5 linked regions of the Rattus norvegicus genome follow. The protein of the gene in region 4 binds, or shares a complex with, the protein of the main gene of each other region. Links are inferred from orthologs where the notes say so. Each region holds a gene or a part of one and is shown on either strand. Other genes may lie near its edges. The genes, in order: Tgfbr2, Itgb8, Lrrc32, Tgfb3 and Itgb6.

What was found.
Region 1: the proteins of Tgfb3 (region 4) and Tgfbr2 are in contact, whole or in part, in a crystal structure (PDB 9B9F), measured with the Homo sapiens proteins. The link is inferred for Rattus norvegicus from reciprocal best matches to the Homo sapiens genes TGFB3 and TGFBR2. Residues at the interface, in NP_001316868.1 of Homo sapiens: Arg325, Lys331, Trp332, His334, Tyr390, Tyr391, Val392, Gly393, Arg394; in NP_003233.4 of Homo sapiens: Leu50, Phe53, Asp55, Ser72, Ile73, Thr74, Ser75, Ile76, Glu78, Val100, Asp141, Glu142.
Region 2: the proteins of Tgfb3 (region 4) and Itgb8 are in contact, whole or in part, in a cryo-EM structure (PDB 8VS6), measured with the Homo sapiens proteins. The link is inferred for Rattus norvegicus from reciprocal best matches to the Homo sapiens genes TGFB3 and ITGB8. Residues at the interface, in NP_001316868.1 of Homo sapiens: Gly262, Asp263, Leu264, Arg266, Leu267, Lys268; in NP_002205.1 of Homo sapiens: Ser156, Ala157, Ser158, Asn161, Arg206, Gln210, Cys211, Tyr214, Leu216, Ser247, Gly248, Asn249, Ile250, Asp251, Thr252, Glu254.
Region 3: the proteins of Tgfb3 (region 4) and Lrrc32 are in contact, whole or in part, in a cryo-EM structure (PDB 8VSB), measured with the Homo sapiens proteins. The link is inferred for Rattus norvegicus from reciprocal best matches to the Homo sapiens genes TGFB3 and LRRC32. Residues at the interface, in NP_001316868.1 of Homo sapiens: Leu24, Ser25, Thr26, Cys27, Thr28, Leu30, Pro347, Pro349, Tyr350, Leu351, Arg352, Thr357, His358, Val361, Leu364, Leu368, Ser375; in NP_001122394.1 of Homo sapiens: Ala110, Ser135, Tyr137, Ser160, Val184, Met186, Asp187, Ile188, Asp190, Phe193, Leu202, Leu204, Arg206, Asn207, Ser208, Thr210, Cys211, Ile212, Ser213, Asp214, Phe215, Ser216, Leu217, Cys227, Asn228, Ser229, Lys254.
Region 5: the proteins of Tgfb3 (region 4) and Itgb6 are in contact, whole or in part, in a crystal structure (PDB 4UM9), measured with the Homo sapiens proteins. The link is inferred for Rattus norvegicus from reciprocal best matches to the Homo sapiens genes TGFB3 and ITGB6. Residues at the interface, in NP_001316868.1 of Homo sapiens: His259, Gly262, Asp263, Leu264, Arg266, Leu267, Lys268; in NP_000879.2 of Homo sapiens: Ser142, Ala143, Ser144, Asp147, Pro196, Cys197, Ser199, Ile200, Tyr202, Cys204, Ala234, Asn235, Ile236, Asp237, Thr238, Glu240, Asp271, Lys355.

The regions. Positions count from the first base shown.
Region 1 is NC_086026.1:124,758,666-124,762,694, reverse strand, and holds the start of Tgfbr2 (TGF-beta receptor type-2 precursor), read left to right. Parts: upstream 1-1,225; 5' UTR 1,226-1,581; coding exon 1,582-1,675; intron 1,676-4,029. UniProt on the Homo sapiens protein: Transmembrane serine/threonine kinase forming with the TGF-beta type I serine/threonine kinase receptor, TGFBR1, the non-promiscuous receptor for the TGF-beta cytokines TGFB1, TGFB2 and TGFB3.
Region 2 is NC_086024.1:146,299,237-146,302,745, forward strand, and holds part of Itgb8 (integrin beta-8 precursor), read right to left. Parts: intron 2,862-3,509; coding exon 2,615-2,861; intron 1,224-2,614; coding exon 1,058-1,223; intron 538-1,057; coding exon 379-537; intron 1-378. UniProt on the Homo sapiens protein: Integrin alpha-V:beta-8 (ITGAV:ITGB8) is a receptor for fibronectin. It recognizes the sequence R-G-D in its ligands.
Region 3 is NC_086019.1:162,196,334-162,200,507, reverse strand, and holds the start of Lrrc32 (transforming growth factor beta activator LRRC32 precursor), read right to left. Parts: upstream 2,806-4,174; 5' UTR 2,753-2,805; intron 1,708-2,752; exon of another isoform or gene 1,016-1,707; intron 1,002-1,015; exon of another isoform or gene 872-1,001; coding exon of another isoform or gene 799-871; intron 1-798.
Region 4 is NC_086024.1:111,454,146-111,458,316, forward strand, and holds the start of Tgfb3 (transforming growth factor beta-3 proprotein preproprotein), read right to left. Parts: upstream 2,802-4,171; 5' UTR 2,404-2,801; coding exon 2,052-2,403; intron 1-2,051. UniProt on the Homo sapiens protein: Transforming growth factor beta-3 proprotein: Precursor of the Latency-associated peptide (LAP) and Transforming growth factor beta-3 (TGF-beta-3) chains, which constitute the regulatory and active subunit of TGF-beta-3, respectively.
Region 5 is NC_086021.1:65,527,530-65,531,779, forward strand, and holds the start of Itgb6 (integrin beta-6 precursor), read right to left. Parts: upstream 2,805-4,250; 5' UTR 2,754-2,804; intron 2,634-2,753; 5' UTR 2,619-2,633; coding exon 2,558-2,618; intron 1,909-2,557; coding exon 1,829-1,908; intron 1-1,828. UniProt on the Homo sapiens protein: Integrin alpha-V:beta-6 (ITGAV:ITGB6) is a receptor for fibronectin and cytotactin. It recognizes the sequence R-G-D in its ligands. Internalization of integrin alpha-V/beta-6 via clathrin-mediated endocytosis promotes carcinoma cell invasion.

The sequences.
Region 1 (4,029 bases), on a different chromosome or scaffold from region 4:
TTGAGGTACACATGGGATGTGAACTTACGGCCTCCACGTGCCCCACACAGACAGGTTCACACATGCACACGCGCACACCCACACACCCAAACCTACATGCACATGCATATGCACACACACACACGCACACACACACGCTCACGCACATGCACATGCATGCACACATGCACGCACACACACATACACCACAGAGATTGTCTCTGGAAAATGTGGTCACACCAGAAAGAATGAAAATTTTGATGGGTCTTCCTACTGATAGCCTTTCTACCTTCAGCCACGTATTTTCTGTCCTTACCTGAATTATCAAAGATTGATCATTGGAAAACAGAAAGCAGAACCCCCCAACCTAAGACACTTTTTATTTTATTTTTTATTCATTTTATTTTTGGTTTTCCAGGACAGTATAGCTTTAGCTGCCATAGAACTCACTCTGTAGACGAGGCTGGCCCCGAACTCGTAGAGTCCCGCCCACGTGCGCCATCCCAGCCTGGTCCCCAAAACACTTTTATTTCTTTAGTTTCTGACAGGCAACACCCTGAAAATACCAGCCCTACCGCGATCACAGGGCCAACTATTTGGCTTTACCCAGCAGACCACGCCCAGGAAATGGTCCTTCCAATCCGAGGCTCTACCCAGGTGCTCATTAGAAATGCAGACGCTGCCGGTTCAGACCTACTAAACCAGAACCTGCAGGTTAGCTAACTTCCTAGCCCAGAGTGATTAATTCGCACACTAAACTCGGAGACAAGCCCCTGGACTTTTGTTCCACAGTAAGAAACAGTCCTTTACAAACGTAATCACGCATGCATGTCCATAAAACTGAAACTAAGTTCTCATGAAGTGCTTACCGTTATTTTATTAGGGGAAACCACGTGTTCGGGACTCTGGAGCTACATTTCAGAGCTCCCTCCTGGGTCTCAACGGAGTTATGAAGTCCCTGGGAGCAATGCCTAGAAGGTGTAGGGGATGCTTGGAGGAGGGTATCAAGGAAAGTGGTTTACACCACCTTCTAGCTTGTTTTGCGAAACGTGCGCTTAGTCACTTCTGAGTTTGAACTTGGAGCCGGGACTTAGCAGGGTCGGGGTGAGTGGGAGCGCTGGGAGTGGGCAACTCAAAGTTCGTAGAGTCCCTCAAGGTCCAATCCAGCGGCCTTGATTGGTGGCCGGAGGAAGGCGAGGGCTGGAAGCTGGAGGAGAGGACCGGAGCTGGAAGGCTCTTGGGCGGCGAGAGGTCCTGCCCAGCTGTTGGCGAGGAGTTTCCTGTTTCCCTCCCGGCGCCCGGGTAAAGTTGATGAGTGAGTCACTCGCGCGCACCGACCGACGACACCCCCCGCGCGCGCACACGCTCGCCTGGGGGACGGAGCCCCAGCCTCCTGCGCAGCTCTCCTCGGCCGCCGGGGGCCTCCTCCGGGCCTCCGAGCTCCGGGGATCGCCGGCCACATCTGGCCCGCACCTCTGCCCAGCGCGCTCCGGGCGGCGCAGGCATCCTGAGAGGGCGAGGAATAAAGGCGCAGCCCGGGGTCCCCGAGGCTCGGTTCGCGGCGCCCCAGGGGCCGGTCTATGACGAGCGACGGGGGCTGCCATGGGTCGGGGGCTGCTCCGGGGCCTGTGGCCGCTGCACATCGTCCTGTGGACGCGCATCGCCAGCACGATCCCGCCGCACGTTCCCAAGTCGGGTGAGTGAGTGGCCGGGGCGCGACGCTGGGGGGTTCACTAGGGCTCCTCGCTCCTTCTCCAACCCCCAGGGCAGCGACTGACAGTCGGCCGCGGGACCCGGCGCGAGGGCGGAAACGGGAAGTTTGTAGCGGCCCGAGTCGGCTCGGGCCCGCGGGGTTCCGGGGAAGATCTCTCGCAAAAGAGCAGGACAGTCCACTTGCGGGGGACTTGGGGACGCTCCTGACCCCTTTGTGAGCGCACGAGAGGCGAGGGCGGCCACGAGGGGCCTGCATCCCCGGAAAGGGAAGTTTAAGAAGTTGGAAGTTGGAGGAGCATCGGCAGGGGACTGGCCGCCCAGCTGCTGCACACCTGGGCCGCTCACTGCCCGAGACACCGCGACTAAACCAGACTCCCAGCCCTCAGCTCTGCCACCTCGGGAGGGATTCTGGGCCGCGACTCACTGGGTACAAGTTAGAGAAAAGAACTGATCTCTAGCCTCACTGTTTCCTGGCCTGCTGGGATGCGGACCCAGTGAGGGTGGTCGGGTTGATGGCTGAGAAAAATTTGCTGCATGCCTACTAAGTGTTGGACTGCACGGGTACTGCCTGGAATTAAAGATCTCAGCAGCTGCGGTTCAGTGGAAACACCTAACCCGGGTTGCCCTCCAGGTCCCATCGCAGGGGTGGTGCAAGAACTAGGGCTCCTTCCTAAGAACTTTTTTGGGAAGTTTAAAGTCTGACATTTTAACCCTAAAGTTAGAATTGTTGCTGCTATCTGTGTAGGACCACTATCCGGGCAAATCTCGTGGCTCTGGGCCTCGGTTTCCCCTTGTGTATAACTCAGTGGTTCAGTTTGTGTAAGTTTACACTCTTTTCATCACTGGCTTTCCATGACCTTCCTTGGTGACTAAGAGGTGGCCAGGGTGGATTTGGGGTGAAACACAGAGGATGGGGTGGCCCTGTGTGTGCGTGTTGCCGGGCGCGGAGGTGGGGTTCGAGGGAGGGCTTTGAAGATGTCAGTAGTTGGAGTGATTTAACGGTTTTGGATCATATTGCAAACAGGAGCGGACCATCTCAGGGAAGAGTCCGATAAAGGAAAACAACAAAAATCCCACCAGGGTCTTAGTCGTTTCATAAACTCTGCTTTCGTGTCGTTGGTTTCCGTTAAAGGGCAGCTCCAGAAAGCCCAACTGTTTCTGATGTTACTCCAGCCTCTTAAAACTGGGCTGGGAGATTTGGCCCGGCTGGTAAGAGCATTTGCTGTGCAAGCTTGAGGACCTGAGTTCAAACCCCCCAGGGTCCGTATGCAAAGTTGGGCGTGGTTCATCGCCAGCCCAGTGGTAGTGAGAGAAGACTGAAGACCCTTTGGAAATTTCTAGATGCCAAGCTAGCTCTAGGTTCAGAGAGAGACTCCATGGAGAGTGACAGAGGGCACTTGGTGTCCTCCCCTGCCCCTTCCCATGCACACAGACCCTACCCCGAACACACATAAACACACGCAGGAAGAAAAAAATTAAAAGAAAAACTGCCGCGTTTTGCTGAAGACCATCCGAAAGAACACCCTTCTTTTTGTGTACATAAAACATTTGTTTTAGCTCGGGAAGAACCAAAGTCCAGAGGCCCCAGTTTGAGTTTTGTTTACAAGAGTGAGATTTGCGATTTTCGAGTTCCAGGCTCTGTAGCTTGTGGGTCATTTATACACAGTTTTAAACAATTAGCTGATGGGCTTGGTGGGTCTTGTTAATTTGGGCTTTAAATGATTTTATAAAACAGAGAGTTTTTTCTTTTTAAACATTTTATGGAATTGCTATTCCAGAATGTTTGGACAGTTCATTTTGAGTTGTACCCATGTGGATCAAAGTCTTTAAAGATGGTTTAAAGTTGGTCCCAGGGAAAGGATGTGTGGAATTCCACTTGCCTTTTCAGTTTCCAGAGAAGAAAAGGGTATTGGGATTTCTCTGACATAGTGGTAAACTGTGAGAATGTTTCTCAAGATAACTTTAATGCAAGAGACAATGAGAAGGAAGGAGGATTCTTTACAAAGCCCTAGTCAGTCCTAAACAAACAAATATCTCATGCTGACCAGCCTGGCAAGTGAACAAGCGATTTCAGTGTAAGAGAAATTCACACTAAAGAAAATTATTTAAAACTTCTTTTCCTCATGTTTCTCTGAGGGTGCTGTACATGAGTACTGGACTAGGGTGGGCACACCCTTGGGTGCTCATGGGTGTGGAGGCTGGAGGTTGACAGAGGGTGCTCATGGGTGTGGAGGCTGCAGGTTGACAGAGGGTGCTCATGGGTGTGGAGGCTGGAGGTTGACAGAGAGAGGGTGGTCTTCAGTTGTTCCACTTCATTTACTCAGGCAGGCTTCTTAG
Region 2 (3,509 bases), about 35 Mb from region 4:
AACTCATAGAAGTAGCTTATTTCCACAAAGCAAAGCCTTGTTTTTCTTTCTTTATAAGACCTCTGAATCACATGAAAATAAGCCCTTATTATCACTTTATTTGAAAAAAAATAAAAACTCAAAACCAAAAAAACCTCTACAGTTCTTAGTAGCTTGTCAGAGTCAGATACTAGACAGTATCAGTGACGTTCAGACATCAACTTTCTCAACCAGTAATTGTAGAGTATTCTGCTCCATAGGTGTTGGTTCCTGGTCCATCTTGGTTTTGCAACTTGCTTTTAGGTAATTTCCTGGGACAAGAGTGGCTGAATTGACAATTTTAACTTTAATTTTAGCCTAAGAGGTCATTATAGCTAGGAAAGGCTGTTGCTACATTACCATGGTTGTTGATTTGACGTAGACATTGTTTTTCAGATGGCAGTTTCCGTCATTTGGCACCACTATGCCTGCCAATTTGCTGTCAAGAGCGAGATGTGATGTCTGGTCTGTCATCACCAGCAGCAATCTTTTAGCTTCTTTTCGCCATCCAATATGACTCTTAAAATAAACATGTAATTAGACCTTGTACAATGACATGGATCTCACTGCGGTCTTTACCTCAAGTAAACGATATGTTTGAATTGACAAACATTGTCGGGCTTGAATGATGTACTGTCTCTAAAATAGCATGCCTAAGTATTTGTTTACCCTTCTCTCCTTCACTATCATCTGGCCACTCTAGTTCCTGACTATAGGGGCACATGGTCCACTGAAGGAAGAATAAAACCAAATGACATGACAGGAGTGGGACACAAGACTTTCTGACTCTGTCTTAAGGTGTGTACAAGAAAAAAGCATTCTCTTTGTTAAATCTCATCTTCTCTCTATAGTTGTTTCCCAACCTGGTTCCATTATCCCAGCATATAGCAAAATGAATCTCAATAGTGATAAGAAGTTAAATTTTTTTAAATGTATTTCTTCACACTGTTTCCACTCCACAAATCAACTAGAACATAAAACTCTTGCCCTCTCATCTACATCTGAGCACTTATGCACCCAGTATGCAAAACTAACTTACCTCACAGACGGCAGCCTGAAGCATGGCATCAAAACCTCCTTCAGGAGTGTCTATGTTTCCAGAGATCTTTTGTCTGTGGACTGCTTTTTCAAACTCAGTGATGTTTTCTGTCAGAGACAGCACATGAATGTATCCATGGGGAGGCATACAGTCTAAATTGTAGTCACTGTGTGGGAAAAGGAAGTTCAAAATCTAGTTTTCTGTGCTTCCTTAAAATTTTCAAAGCACTATTAACAGTCAGATTAGGTAGTTGCTGTAAGAAGAAATGGGTGGGGAAATTTTTATAACAGAAAGTCTGTAAGACTGGAGAATTTAATGTTGGTGAACACTTAATGTTTGTGAGTAGAATATAGAACTATAAGGTTTGATGTTCAAAACTCAAGATTCTATGTATTTCATGAACACAGGACAATGAAGTATTTTAATATGCTAATGACAGCTGAATTTTTAAGAGGAACCTAAGAATTTGTACTAATTTTCTATCACAGTTGGTCTTAGAGCTGATGAGAAATACATCCAGGGAGATAATTGGGGAATTCAGCTTAAATAGCATATTGCATTTTTATTTCTAAAAAGATATCATACTAATTTTGAAAATGAAGCTTGCTGTGGAACTATTAGTGAGCAGTAAAACTTATGAGAATGACTTTGGTAACACTCTGGCAACTCAGAAAGAGACTCATTCCTCAGGTAGGCTCTCCTTCAGGGAGATTGTTCAAGCTCCGCATAATGTTACCGAAGCCCTAGGGAGGCGGAGGTGTCAGGATTGAGAATTCTGGGTCAGTCTAAGCTACAAAGTAACACCTGATCACAGAAAACCTTATGAATGAATGAATAAAGAAATGGAGAAGGCTTCTCAATGTCCTGTAAAAGATAAGTCAATACCATTTTGTCTAATTGATAGCTATTTCTTCAAGTTTGAATGTGTAGAGTGAAAAGATTGGAGCAGTTTATAGAAATAGAAAATTCCTTTAAGAAAATGATTTATGGGACAAGAGGTTTACAGAGTCATTTCTCTGAAATTTTAACAAGTGATGTACTATGTATAAACTTGCATGCCTGGAGTTAGTTTTCTTTGCTTGGGGAAGCAGGTACTATTTAGAATCAAATTCATATTTTTTGATCTATAATCTTTGAGACAGTTGGTTACATCATTAACAATGCAAGTATACACTATCACAATATAGTAAGATGTCAGTGTAATATTGTGATGATAAATAGTATAAAATGTGCCAAACCTAAAAGCAACAAATTTGGAGCAACCACAAAGGAGGAATATACAATATCCAGAGGTATTTATATGTATGTCAGCCTCATTGGTGTAAATTCATACAAAATTACTAGTAAAAGGTAAGGTTTTCTCCTATGGCAAAAAGCAAATAAACAATATTTGAGGAAATATAACTTAAATGTTTCCAGAGAAGAAGAAAGATCCTCTTCAAATACTTTTAACTTTTATTTAAGAAGACAATATTTTGAAACACGGTAAGTCTTCATATTAGAACAAACAACGTAAGAAAGATTCTTTTACTATTATTCACAAGAAACATTAGATACCTGCACTGATTGTGGATCCTTTCCGGGTGGATACTAATGTATGGTGAGACAGTTTTATCCACATATGAGCCAAAACCAAGACGGAAGTCATGGGAAAAAAGGGCCATTTTTTTAGATAAATCGTTTCCAACGGAATTCAATTTTTCTATATTATTGTGCATTGATGCTGACACATCAACCAGATAATAAAGATCCACAGGGTACTTCTTCAGGGGACGGATTTTTAGCATAAAATTAGCTTCAGCTCCTAATTCAAAGAAAGAAAAACATCATGCAGTCTTCATTCACACATCTCAGATGTCAGTAAGACAGTGACATTTTCATTTGTATTTGGTGTGTGTGTAAGCACACTTGTCACAACATATATGCTGAGGTTAGACAACAATTTGCAGGAGTCAGAATCAGTTCTGTGCTTCTGTCCTGTGGATCCCAGGGATTGAACTAGAGTGGTCAAGTGTAACAAGTACCTGTAGTCACTGAGTCATCTTAGTGGTTTGCAGTGATATTTTATTATGTAGCACAATTATCATAAATTTACACACTATCAAGATTCTTTTCCTATTGTGCGACTGCCACTGTGTATCACTGTGTACATGACTCAATACTGGATAGAGGCAACTTAGGTTAGATTGTTTTCTCTCACAGATTAGAGAATACAGCCAGTTATCTTGGTGGAGATGGCACGGTAGTTGGAGCAGCAGGAGCTCAATGACCCACTATTTTCTTATCTTTATAGATTAGGGATCAGAGTGTTACAGAGGTAGCAGAGTTGGGTATGGCTTCCGAAAGTCTCTCCCAATGACCCACTATACCAGCCATATCCTTTCTAAACAGTGTCAGAAGCTGAGGACACAGTGTTCAAACAAAGGGCCATGAGGGATGTTTCAGATCTAAA
Region 3 (4,174 bases), on a different chromosome or scaffold from region 4:
GGTAAGAGAATGAGACTTGTCACTCTGAAGACGGCCTTGGGAGAGATCTGCAGGCCTGTGCCTGCTCTTTTGACGGTCAGAACCCACTGGGGATGAATCTCAGTGCAGTGGCTGTCCATCTTGCTGAGACACACAGGGGCCAGCATGGGCCTTTTGACTCTCCTTCCTGGCTCCCCCAGAGCCCAGCCCTGCCCCACAGTGCTCCACTTTCACTGCAGGCTATGAGGAAATTTTGTTCCTTTGGTTCAAATGAAGTCCCCACCTGCTTAACATCAGCATTCTTAGAGCTAAATGAAAACCCCCGGCCTTCATCTCCAGGCCCTGGGCAGCCAGCCCTCCCTGGGCCAACTCTTGTCTCCCACCTGACTTGACATTGTCCCCACTCTCTCTGGGCCCTGAACACATGTACACACGTGTGCTTCCTTTGGACCTCTGGAACCCTCACTTCCTCTGCCTCCCCTGCAGCTGAATATTTCCTCACCCCGTGGAGCTTAGATGCCAGATCCTCTGGGGAGCCTTTTCTGGTCCCCCACAGATGCCTTGTGTTCTCCGGGCTCTTGAAGTTGCTGAGCTTTGGACAGCCCAGTGTGGGGCACAGAGCACACCCCACTATGATTCCCTACCCTTTAAAATGAAAGTACCCGTGGGTACACCTCATGACACAGGGAAGCCAGATAGAGAGCACAGCGGCAGGCAAATCTCCTCTGTGGGATGCAGATGAGGAGAGGTCTCCCAACTCCCTCCATCCCCCCCCCCATCCCCTCCCTGCCCTAGCCCACCAGGTTCAAAGCTGCCCACCTTCACTGTAACAGCCAACTCCACTGTTTGTGTTCTTGCTTCCCTCCAGTACGGGACAATCTGTCCCATCCATGGCAGCCAGTGACGTTTCAAAGTCACATGCCAGATCTTACAAATCACTTTGAAATCTCCAGTAGTGTTCAGGCTTCACACACTCGCCCATCAGCTCCTCCTACCACCTTTCCCCCCTCAGCAGACTCCTCAGTCACCTCAGTACCTTCCTGGCTGCCTGGGGACTCTGCTTTGCTGCTCCCTCCTGGTCCAGGATGTTCCTGCTCAAGCTCCTGGGTGCTGTATCCCTCCTCCCCCCATTTCTCATTTGCTTCATTCCTTAAGTATATGCTCACTAAACTTCTCTCAGGGAACAAGTGGCTGAATTACGTCAGAAGTTTGGCTGCAGTAAGGACAAGTCAGGACCTGGGGTTAAGCTGGGGATGCCCAAAGGGACCCTATCTCTCCTTCTTCTGCCAAGTCCTGTTCTACCCCACCATAGGGCTTCTGCATATCCAGAAGGGACAGCCCCCACTGAACCACAGAAATATGATGGAGAAACTCCCTGCTGTGCCCCATCTGCAGCATTGAGATCTTCAGTCCCACAGGGAAGACCAGAGGCATTCGAACCCTGGGTCACTGTCAAGTCCCAACACTCACTAGTATGGCCCCCAGGGCAAGTTCTGCCTGGGTGATTCATCTGCAGCGTACACCAGTTCCCATTCGGACACTAGCTATCCTTAGCCATGGGATGATGAGGTGGGGTGTGGCCAGGAAAGCACTAAGGCCCTACAGTGTCCTTCCCTGAAGGTTCAGTACCAATGGTGCTGAGGAGAGAGGTCCTAGCTCTGCAGGCAGGTGGCTGGATTCTGATTGGAGAGGTGTCAAAGAATCTCTCTCTCTCTCTCTCTCTCTCTCTCTCTCTCTCTCTCTCTCTCTGTGTGTGTGTGTGTGTGTGTGTGTGTGTGTGTGTGTGTGTGTGACAGAGGGAAACAGACAGACAGATAATGGGGGCAATCCTATAATAAAAATAAGACTGCCCCTACTATACAAGGAGGTCACACATTTTTCTAAGCCATAGGTCGATTACGGGTCTTTTAATTCTCATGACCACCAAGTGAGGTGATTACTATAATTCCCATATACAGACCAGAGGACGGAACGGAGGTTTGGGAAGGCCAAATGCCTGATCCCTAGGCCCTACGTGTGCTAAAACTGGGACCGAGCCAGATCTATATAGTCCCTTAGTGCTGTGTGGTCTCTACTAGTGCAGACCCCACTGGCACCCTGTAGAAATCTCTCCTGGACCATGTGGTTCAGAGAAATGACTTACCCAAAGTCACTTGTACAGTAAACAGAAGAGTCAGAATCAGAATCCAAGCCCTGTGTCTCCAAAGCAACTGCCAAGACTTCCTTCCTAAGGTAGCCGAGGAGCCCACAGGTCCTGGGCCTGGCTCAGGAGTACACTGAGTGGTAGGGCTCTCAATCTGCTATGATGTACTGGCAAAAGGGGTCTGGGAGAGCAGCTTCAAGGCTCACAGGGCAGTGAATCACTAAGGGCAGCCCATTCTAGAGACATCCCACATCTCAGGGGATCAGACTTTAACCCAAAGGAATGAGCATATGATGTGAAATGTCAGGGAGGAGATGGGGTAGGGGATTCCTCCTATCCATAAAGAAGGGAGGCTTCAAGTCTCCCCAGAGTGCTGGGTATCCCCTCCAGAGACAAGAGTGATGGTGCGGAAAGCCCATGTCCGCCTGGGGCAGACCTGAATTCAAATCCTTAAGTGCTAGGTTGGCTGTATGCTCCGAGGCACGCACGGAGTTTCCGGCCTCGATTTTCCCAGCTGTCAAATGGGAACGCCTATCCGAACCCTTCCCTGGGTAGATAAGCTAATACCCGGGTGCAGAAGGAGAGTCCGGCCCCAGCTCCCTAGGCACCGCCGCCTTCCGCCGCCCCTACCTGGCTCAGCGCCGCCGCCGCCGCCCGACTCCTCCGAACATCGTTCGCACAACCCCGGGGGTCTGGCCCGCCGTGGCCCGGCTGCTCTAGCGCCGCTCCAGCCGGCGGCAAGGGGGCGGCTCCCGCCTTTTAAATAGCACCCCTCTCGGCCACGCCCCCTGGGGCTGGGAGCCGCGGGGTCCTAACACCGCCCTGCCAGTTGCGCGGACCTAGGAACCGAACATCACCTCTGCTCTCGAATCGCCCGCCCCGGGCCAGGGCGGCACTTGAAACCGAAAAACGTCTGGAGGGAGAAGGATCACAAAGGAAACTGAGCGGGGGCAGCGCACGTGCAGCCGTGGGCATGCGAGGTCTGGGGTGCGGGGAGCCGCAGGTCCGCGGAGGAAATCCTGGCGCCACCGCACTAAGGCGGGGGTGGGGTGGGGTGGGGGTGGGCTCACCCAGAGGTGACTGACAACCTCGGGCACGGAAGGAAGTGACCCTTCTTTGGCCCTGGGACGACCCTGAGGGGGTTCCCCCGTACCTCGGGTATCCTGCCTTTAAGTCATCTCTAAGCCTGTCAAAGTCTCCAACTAACGGATGGAGAAACTGAGGCCAGGAGTTGGAGTTGGGGTGAAGGATAGGACGGCGAATATGTATGAAAAGCCAGTTGACTGAGACTTGTCAGTTCCCTGCGTACAGTTGGAGGACCCGAGGCTCGCATAGCTTGAATTGCATAATGATAGTCTCACAACTTACCCAAAGCTGCTGCCTTTTCAAGTACTTAGCCTTCTCAGTCACTGGCACCGTGTCCTGCTGGGTCTAGACTGAAAGATGGGTGATCCTGGGAGAAGAGCGTTACCACTGTGTTCCAGTCCCTGGTTCGGCATTCATAATGTTCTCCCAGGTTCGCGTCCATGGGGTCATGTACCAAAAAAGGGGCTTGTGGCTACTCTGGAGCATGGGCAGAGCATGAGCAAAGATTCAAAGCCGTCCACCATATCTTAACGGCAGCCAGCGTGAGAGTAAGCAGCACCAAGCAGGGTGAGCCAGAGTGGAGCTGGGCCTTCCCTCCCATCTAATTCAGTGCTGAGTAGTGGGAACCCTGACACTACGGTCAGGAAAAGTTTCATGAAGGAGGCATCCCCTGATGTCAGGGCAGCAGAGTAGCCAAGCTTCCTGTCCCCCCACCCCCACCTCAGGAACTCACAGGGTCCTGGCTCCCAGGAGCACCCCAGCCCTTGTCTGTACTATCTAGTCAGACTGAACTTCAGTTTCCCTCTCTGCAAAGTATGGGATGACAAGAGCTGCTCTTTTGGACATAGTACGAGGACAGGATGAAGTTGATGGGCCTGTACCCAATGGATGTTAGAGAATGTTCCTCCCCTCATCTGCAGCTTTAGGTGTCCGACACCTTTTTCAGGTTCGTGTCCATGGGGTCAT
Region 4 (4,171 bases):
CACCTGTGCCAGCTGCAGAGTGCCTGGGCCTGCTTCCTGATGGTACTGTGAGCCTCCGTGGCATTGCCTCTGCCCCACTGAACCCTGACTCCTCCTTAGCATTGAGAAAATATTCTTGTTCACTGCGCCAAGTTGTCACAGGCTAGACCGCTACTCCATTGTCCCCATGACTTCCCTTGATGTTACAACCTGGGAACTGCACAACAACTGTGGTGGGCTGTCCTGGCTTTGTCTGAGGCTACATCTTTTGTAGCCTAGATTTCTGCACAAAATCCACATCCACACCTACCTGTGTAGCCGTGTGTTCACATGGATTGCTCATCATCATCTCAGGGCTCTAGACAGGGTGGGCCCTAGTGACTCAGAATCCCTTCTTCTCAGACTCTCTTCCTGACCCAGACTGTGAGGGTTCCAGGGCCACCCTCTTATCCTCTACTTCCCTCAGACTTGTGACCTTCTCTGATATCTGTGGCTACTATGACTCGCCTTGGTAGGTGACCAAGGAGTCAAGGGTTCATCCCATCTAATCCTGGATGACTCTATAAACTGTGGTCACCAGGCAGTCCCTGAACGGACACCAGTAAGCAGACCCTAGGCAGGGAGCTCCAGGTCTGTCTAGTTTCCAGCCTGGACTCTGCATGGGTAGCCAGATCCTAAGAAAAGGTGATACTCCAGCCAGTCACAGGAAACTGCCCCGAGAACACCTGTATCCCTGCCTCCAGAAACTACACTTTTCTTTCTGCCTGGTGTAGACCAGCTTCCTACTGGCCTTTTGCATCTTCCTTGAGAGCGGCTCCACCCATTGGCGCTCACTCCTGTTCCTTCCCTGCAGCCGGGTTTCTCTAGCCTCCTGCTGTTTGCCCCATGGCCACTCTGACTATGCCAGCCTCCTGGCTCCAGCCAACCCTTCCACCCCAACTTGGGCACTGCCCACCTGGGAGGTGGGCCTGGGCTGAAGTCACCGGGGCACGGAGGACACCTGCTGGCAGGAAAAGCAAACAGAGCAGCTCCCGGACTCAGGCCCAGAGCCGCTTACATTCCTCTTTCCTGGGCTGTCAGTTTCTCAACATCTGCCAAATTTCTCTCTCTTGTATTGAGCTTTTTTAAATCCCCATTCAGTAAACACACATGACTTCCACACGTGTACAAACACACACAGGCGTCTCACCCAGAAGCTTCACAGTTCCTCCGCAGACAGCAGCCTCCTGGGAAGAAACTTCCAGACACACATCCCCATCACCCCCGCAGCCATCCCTTGGGCAGATGCCTTGGGCTATCCAGAACCTCAATCCTGGCCTCCTGTGTCCATTAGCCTGGGAGGCCCTGCTTTATGCATATGAATCTGTCTACTGTGTAATGTAAGAGTCCATATTGCCCAAAAGTCCACGTATGTGGGAATATACATGTGTTACCCTCCCCCTCCCAGCTCACGTGGGTCACGTGTGTGTGTGTGTGTGTGTGTGTGTGTGTGTGTGTGTGTGTGTGTGTGTGTGTGTGTTAGACTGAAAAGCCTCGGTTGGGCTTCCAAAAGCAGCTTAACAAACTCAAATTTGAGGCAGGTACACTGTGTTTCCTGAAAGCCGGGAAGCTGACCCAGAGATGTGGTATAAGGAGCCAGGAAAAGCAGGGAGAATATGGAGATGTCCAGACTCAGATGACCAGGAGGATTTGGGGGCCAGCCAGCCCACCCCTCTACAGAACCCACGTGCTCACAGTGAACCTCTATGTGTTCTCACACACAGATATGTAAGAACATGTTTCCTTAGGTGGCACTATACAGTTCCCAGTTACTACCCACCAAGGGTGTCCTAGGAGTTCCGAACGCCACTTGGCTTCAGGGCTCCTGGCCTCTTGAAGCCCTTGGCTCTTACCAGAATGTCTCTGCGCCTTTCCCACCCACCTACCCAGCTGCAGCTGCAGGGCCTGACCTCTGTATTGAACCCCCGGGGGTGCGCTCTGCTGTATAAGGGCCACCAGGCCCCCCCTCTGTGGAACTCCCTTTTCCAGTTCATCCCCTCCAGAGCAGACACCCAGCAAGCATTGGGACTTACTGTGCTCCGCCAGCCCCTGGATCATGTCGAATTTATGGATCTCTTTGGCATAGTACTCTGACTCCGAGGTTTCCTGAGTGCAGCCTTCTTCCCTCTCCCCGTGCATCTCTTCCAGCAACTCCCGGGTGCTGTTGTAAAGTGCCAGGACCTGATAGGGGACGTGGGTCATCACCGACGGCTCAGGGGGGCTGGTGAGCCTGAGCTTGCTCAAGATCTGTCCCCTAATGGCTTCCACCCTCTTCTTCTTGATGTGGCCGAAGTCCAAGGTGGTGCAAGTGGACAGAGAGAGGCTGACTGTGGCCAAGTTCAGCAGGGCCAGGACCACCAGAGCCCTTTGTAAGTGCATCTTCATGTGTGAACCCAGGAACGAGGCCAGGGGACTGGGGAGGCCTGGCAAGGAGGAGACCCCAGTAGAAAGGGGGAGGAAAACCAGGCGTCCTCCCCAGATCCCAAAGACTGAGGCTTGGCAAGAGGGTGCATGAACTCACTGCGCTGTGTGAGCTTCAGGACTCCCAGGAAGCGCTGGCAACCCCGGGACGAAGTAGCGGACTGTGTGCTGTGTAGCGCTGGGATTCTTGTCCATATATCTAAACAGGTTCTGCCGGGCTCTGACTCCCAGCAGGCCAGGTGGAGGGCAAGCCGAGGGTTGGGAGGGGTGGCAAGGCAGCTGGGAGTGGGAAGAGAGCTGGAGTTTTTCCTTAGGTAAAAATAAATAGAGCGGATATCTGATATTGCCAAACGCCGCTTGGCGATGAGGAGAAAGTGAGTATTTTAAAGAAAGTGCAGAAGAGCCATGGCTGGGTCCCAAAAATCAAGCTCTTTGCCTTGCCCTGAAGGGAGAATTAGAAAAGCGAATGGAAAAGAGAAGGAAAAAAATGTTTAAAAAAAATCACCAGTGGGTATGTGGGGAGAGGCAGCGCTGGGCAACGGCAGGCCCAGCTAAAGGTGGGGGCAGTGCGGGACACACTTGTCTCGGGAGCACTCCATTCATGCTTTCCCTTTTGTTTACACTTCCTCGGGGGCTTTCTAAATGACTCTGTTCGCGCTGCCTCTCCTCTTCATTGGCTGGGATGAGGGATTATATACAACTGGCAAACTGGGAGGGCAGGCCTCTTGGAGACAGCTCCGATAATCCACTTGGACCCAGGGTCACCAGCATCTCAGCTTATCTTCTCTCTCGGCCATGGCTTCTGTCCCTTGCTTCTCTTTAGGAATTAAAAAAAAAATCAAAAGAAAAAGAAAATAGAAGCCGATTCACCGCAGCTGACTCCGGAAAGCGTTATTTCTTCCTCCGCAAGGCCCTTCCCGTGCGCGTCTCGCCTCTCTGTGGCTCAGCCCCCTACACTCGGCCCTCTTCTTCCCTCCCTTTCTCTCTCCCCTTCTCCCTCTCCTCCCTCTCCCTCTCTCTCTCTCACACACACACATGCACACACACTGCTTTCTCTATTTCTCTCTGCTGAAATTTTATACCTCCCTCCCATGACGTATCGGCCTGGGGTGGGGGAGGGAGGGAGGGACCAGCGCACACAGCCTCTCTCGCTGCACGGTTTTAATGTTTTAAACAGGCACAGGAAAAGCCGAGCCCATTTGAAAAATACTTTGTGAGTCCTCTGGTTCGACGTGGTAACTGAACTTTTTTTTCCCCTCCTCTTGGAGTCATTCCTGCTACACGTTGGCTGTTTTTCTGGAAAGTTACTCCCGAGCCCCCTCCCTCCTGCTACCCCGGCCCCTCTGCGCCGGGGCCAGCTGTCAGTCCACGCTCCCCGCCTCGCGCTCTCGCCTCCCCCGCGTCCCGGATCGCCCCCGGTCGGACAGGGGACACAGGCTAGGTTCGCTAGGGGAGAAGGGCCGGGCGGTCCGGCCACTCTCTCCAGGCCCCAGGGTGGAACCGGGCTCGGCCGCGATCCTGGCAGCGGTTCCTCACTGACCATCCCGAGCCCGGCAGCTGCTGCTGGGGTAAATGATGGCACTTTCCGGAAGGCCGAGGGTGCCCTCTGGCGAGGCAGGGCCGCCAGTGACAGAAGCTTGGAGGCAAGCAACACCAGATCCTGCGATCACGTCCCGACCCCACGCGCCAGCCGCTCCCCATCCAGTGCGGCTGAGCACTTGGCCCCAACCCG
Region 5 (4,250 bases), on a different chromosome or scaffold from region 4:
CTCCGTTTGGCTCATTCTTCGCTCTAATGGCCACAGTTGACGTGCTCGTGACTGCTTTCGTTATTGGAGAGGCCTCTAAAATGGTTTGGCCCCAATACTTGATGATCACCTGACCAGCTATAACTCAAACTCTCAGTGACACCTTAGGAAACACTTATTTATGCTAAAAAATGAATTTAGTTATAAATTCTAGTGAACTGAAGAGATAGGTCAATGGCTAAGAGTGCATATTGCTCTTCTAGAGGACCCAAGTTCAAATCCCGGCACCCATGTCAAGAAACTTGCAACTGCCTGTAAGTGTAATTCAGGCGTTCTGATTCCCTCTTCTGGCCTCCATGCGCGCGCGCACACACACACACACACACACACAAACACACACACACACACACACACACACACACGCAGTAAACATACACTCTAGATAGATACAATATGTTTTGTCTCTGCTATGAAACGAATACTGTCTTCTAGACAAGAGTGTATGGGTTCGTTCCTTGTTGAATATTCTCAACCTTGCATTTGATATTTGACCTTAAAAGAAAATAATTGCCTTGAATGTTATTTGTTGCCTAAGCAGTTAAGGCAGTGTGTGTGTGTGTGTGTGTGTAGAGGCACAGGGGTGGGGAGACTTTCTGCATGTGAGGCAACCCTCCACAGATCCATAATGAACAGGGGATTTGGGTGCTAACAGTTACAGCCCAGTTCTAATCCAGGCATCTAGATTCCTTTCCCTTTGCATGCTACCTGGCTCCTGCTGTTGGCATTTGCAAGCCTTGATTGGCACTTAGATTCTTTCCAATGGGTGGGACTTAAAATCCAGAAAGCCAAAGGCTGCTTTTTCTTAGTGTGAATCCTTTACACTACACCGTGCTCTCCGCATCACGACACGGGCTGTGACTTGGTCTATCTTGTTATTCAGTCCTCACAGTCTCCATACTTCTTCACACAAGTTTCACTCTGTCCAGACAAGGACCGTTTCTTTAGAGCAGTAGTTCTCAACATTCCAAATGCTGCAACCCCTTTAATACAGTTCCTCATGTTGTGGTGACCTTCCCAACCACAAAATTACTTCCGTTGATACTGCATAACTGTGATTTTGCTACTGTTAGGAGTCGTCATGTAAATCTATGTGTTTTTCAATGATCTCGGGCGACTCCTTTGAAAGGGTCATTCAACCCAGTCAGGGATTGTGACCTACAGGTTGAGAACCACTGCACTGCTTTTGAACTGTGCTGTGCTCACTCTGTTCAGGACTATGCAAAAGAATTGGCTGATGCCTGAATCATAGTTTTCCCTTCTTGAAGTACCTAGCAGAGACTTACAATGGCTCTCAGGTCCCAGAGGGAGCACAACTACATTATATCAGCATTCAATGTCTGCGTCACTTTGGACAATATCTCCATGGCCACCAATTATCCAGACAGAATGTTACACCAGCAAACAGCTAGAAAGACTTTATAGTAAGGGAAGGCTGGCACCACTGGCCAGGCAGAGGCAGCCACATCTCTGTGAGTTCCAGGCCAGCCAGTGCTATGTCGTGAGACCCTGTCTCTAAAATAAAAATCAAAAGTAAGTAAAGTGACTATATTAAATAAGAGAATTGCCTAGATTTAATAAAGGATGTTAAGTTTTTAAAGGACAGTGTGACATCCGTTCCCTCAGTGAGTCGTTTCCAAGGTATAGATGAAAACAAACTTTGATCCACTGACTCCCACATTCCATTCTCGATCTAGTTAGTCATTCAACCCCACAGAGAGAAGCGCTTTCACTGAGGACGTTAATGGATGTGGAAACAGTGTTAGAAACAGGGCAATAGCCAGGGATTTACCTCCTGGGAGCACCAGGCGCAGTGAGGTCCTGTGAGCAGGCAGTCTGAGCAGGTTTCTGCACCACTCCAGGCACAGCCACCTAAGGGCAAACAACCAAGGATTAAAGCCCTCTCCCTTCATTCCGTTTACAGGACTAACCCTTCCTCCTCGAGCAAAGCTATATAGAAATTAATCCTCGGACGGCCAGCAACTCACATCAAAGTTTATAGCTTATATCTCCATCATGTAAGCAGTCTCTCAGACCACAACCATGTCTAACCGCTCAGTACAGAATCATCGGATTCAGCTCCAGTTCAACACCTGCCACTTAATTTCAAAAACAAGTCTGTACCCATTAAAGAGGTTTCTCGTATAAATTCAGCATTTCTGGTTCTGAATCTTCCACACTCATGATTATGACTCCCAGGTGGATGGTCTTGTTGTGTAACAAAGCAGAAAAGCTTCCGAAGTGGCTATCAGAACAACACTCAGAAGTCACATCGTTCAGGAACGCTGTCTGATCCTCCTCATTAAAATGCCCGTGAAGCCTTTGCGTTTATTTACCTTGTACCTAGAACGTTCACTGGGGGGAATGCCCTATGCCTGCCTACAGTTTGTACAAGTGCCTCAGTGGCAGGAGAGCCATCAGACAGGTCAAATGAAAAATGACTGCGGGTCTGTTTTCTGAACCAAATGACAGTTTGTCAAGCCCATGATGAGAGCGATATCCGAGAGAGCTCCGGGCTTACCTTGGACGTGATCATTCCTTCCTAGAAGTAGCAGGAACAGGCAGACCAGCTCAATCCCCATTCGGTTCAGTTTTCACTGTGCAGACAGATTAAAAATGAATTACCTTCAGGGTTACAAGACCAAAGCTGGAAGCCGTGAAAGTCTTTCTTGCAGTGTTTTTTTTTTTTTTTTTTTTTTTTAAGTAAAACTACTTACACTGCTTTGAAAAGTAACTTGAGCTGTAAATTCGAAAGCTTTCATTAAGACTGAAATGAAAACAGAAGCTACCTGGCCAGGCAAAGAAGAAAAGCTGTGTTTAAAAGCAACTTCAACATGCGTACTTCCTCATTCGCCTTATAAGGAAGTCAGGTGTGCAATCACCGAGAAGGTGGGGAGACTCGGGTGCAGGAGACATTTTTATGTGTGAGCATTCTATTAGCTGTACTGTATCCTAGAGAGACTCGGTCTCTTCAGTGAAATGCTAATCAAGGAGCTGTCAAAAGACGGATTTAAATGTATGCTTCTTATGACAATTTTTAGTTTAAGGCAGTGAGGATGTGAAGCAAAACACCAGAACTTAAGCTAAATATAAGGAAGGCTAATTAAAAAAAAAAAAAAAAGCCAACCGAAAATACCTGAAATTTTTGGTTTTCATGTTAGAGCCTCTGCAGAGAATTCAAACGAGCTCTGGAAAATAAAAACATTATTTTACAGTCAAATTAGAAGTTAGGCAAAGGAGAACCAAACACTGTTTTCTTATCTTTCAAATTATATAAGAGGTATTTTTTTCACACGCCCAGAATTCTTATTTTTTTAAAAGTGCATTAAAAAGCACTGTATATGGAGATCAACTGGATGGAAAGAAAGCCTCAGCGTAACAACAGAAACAATGCAGGGAGAAACAATCGCAGCCAAGATTCTGAATCTGTCTCTAGAGCATTCTTCCAGGGCGGTGACGACAGAGAGCATTCGCTGGACACACAGAAGGTCCTGCGCGCCTCTTCAAGTACCAAGATCGCAAAGCAAACAAATGATTACTAAAAGCAAGGTTAAAAAAAAAAAAAAAAAAAGGAAAGGAAAGGAAAGGAAAGCCTCCCAGCTCCCGGCTTGGCACATAGGAATCATTTATTTGTATTATGAATGACAGCTCAAAATGTGTGCATTCTACAGGTAAATCTTCAAGGTTCGTATCCCCCGCCCCCTCTCCCCCACCCTCCCTTCAGGGGCCTTTCAGGACCTGTAGAAACTGTGAGAGGTAAGAATCAAATACTCTGTCACTCTAAGCCGTCTGACCTTAGGCAGGCTCCTTTATGTCTCAGCTCAAGGCCTGGGAGACTATCTTTTGAAGGTATGTTTCCAGGCAGGCGTGAGAAACCTGGAAAGAGAAGAAAACAAATTATAGTGTACTCAGATTTTTTTTTTCTTCTTCCCAGCAGCCTATAGTCTGTTTTCAACTCTGTCATATACGCAATCCAGGAAGAAAACAGAAAGATTCCTGCAGTAAGAATCCAGATCAGAGAGCTGAAAGATGAGACTTTGAGAGAGAGGAAAAAAAAAACAGAGTGTGAAATGTGTGCCTGCATTCGAAGGATGTTGGAACCATGATTCTCTGTCTATGATACTGCCGCCATTTTTAAAACCCATCGGCAAGTGTTTTCTGAGCATTTGTGTCAGATATGCTCTTTTAAGATAAATTTTTAGTTGACATAACAA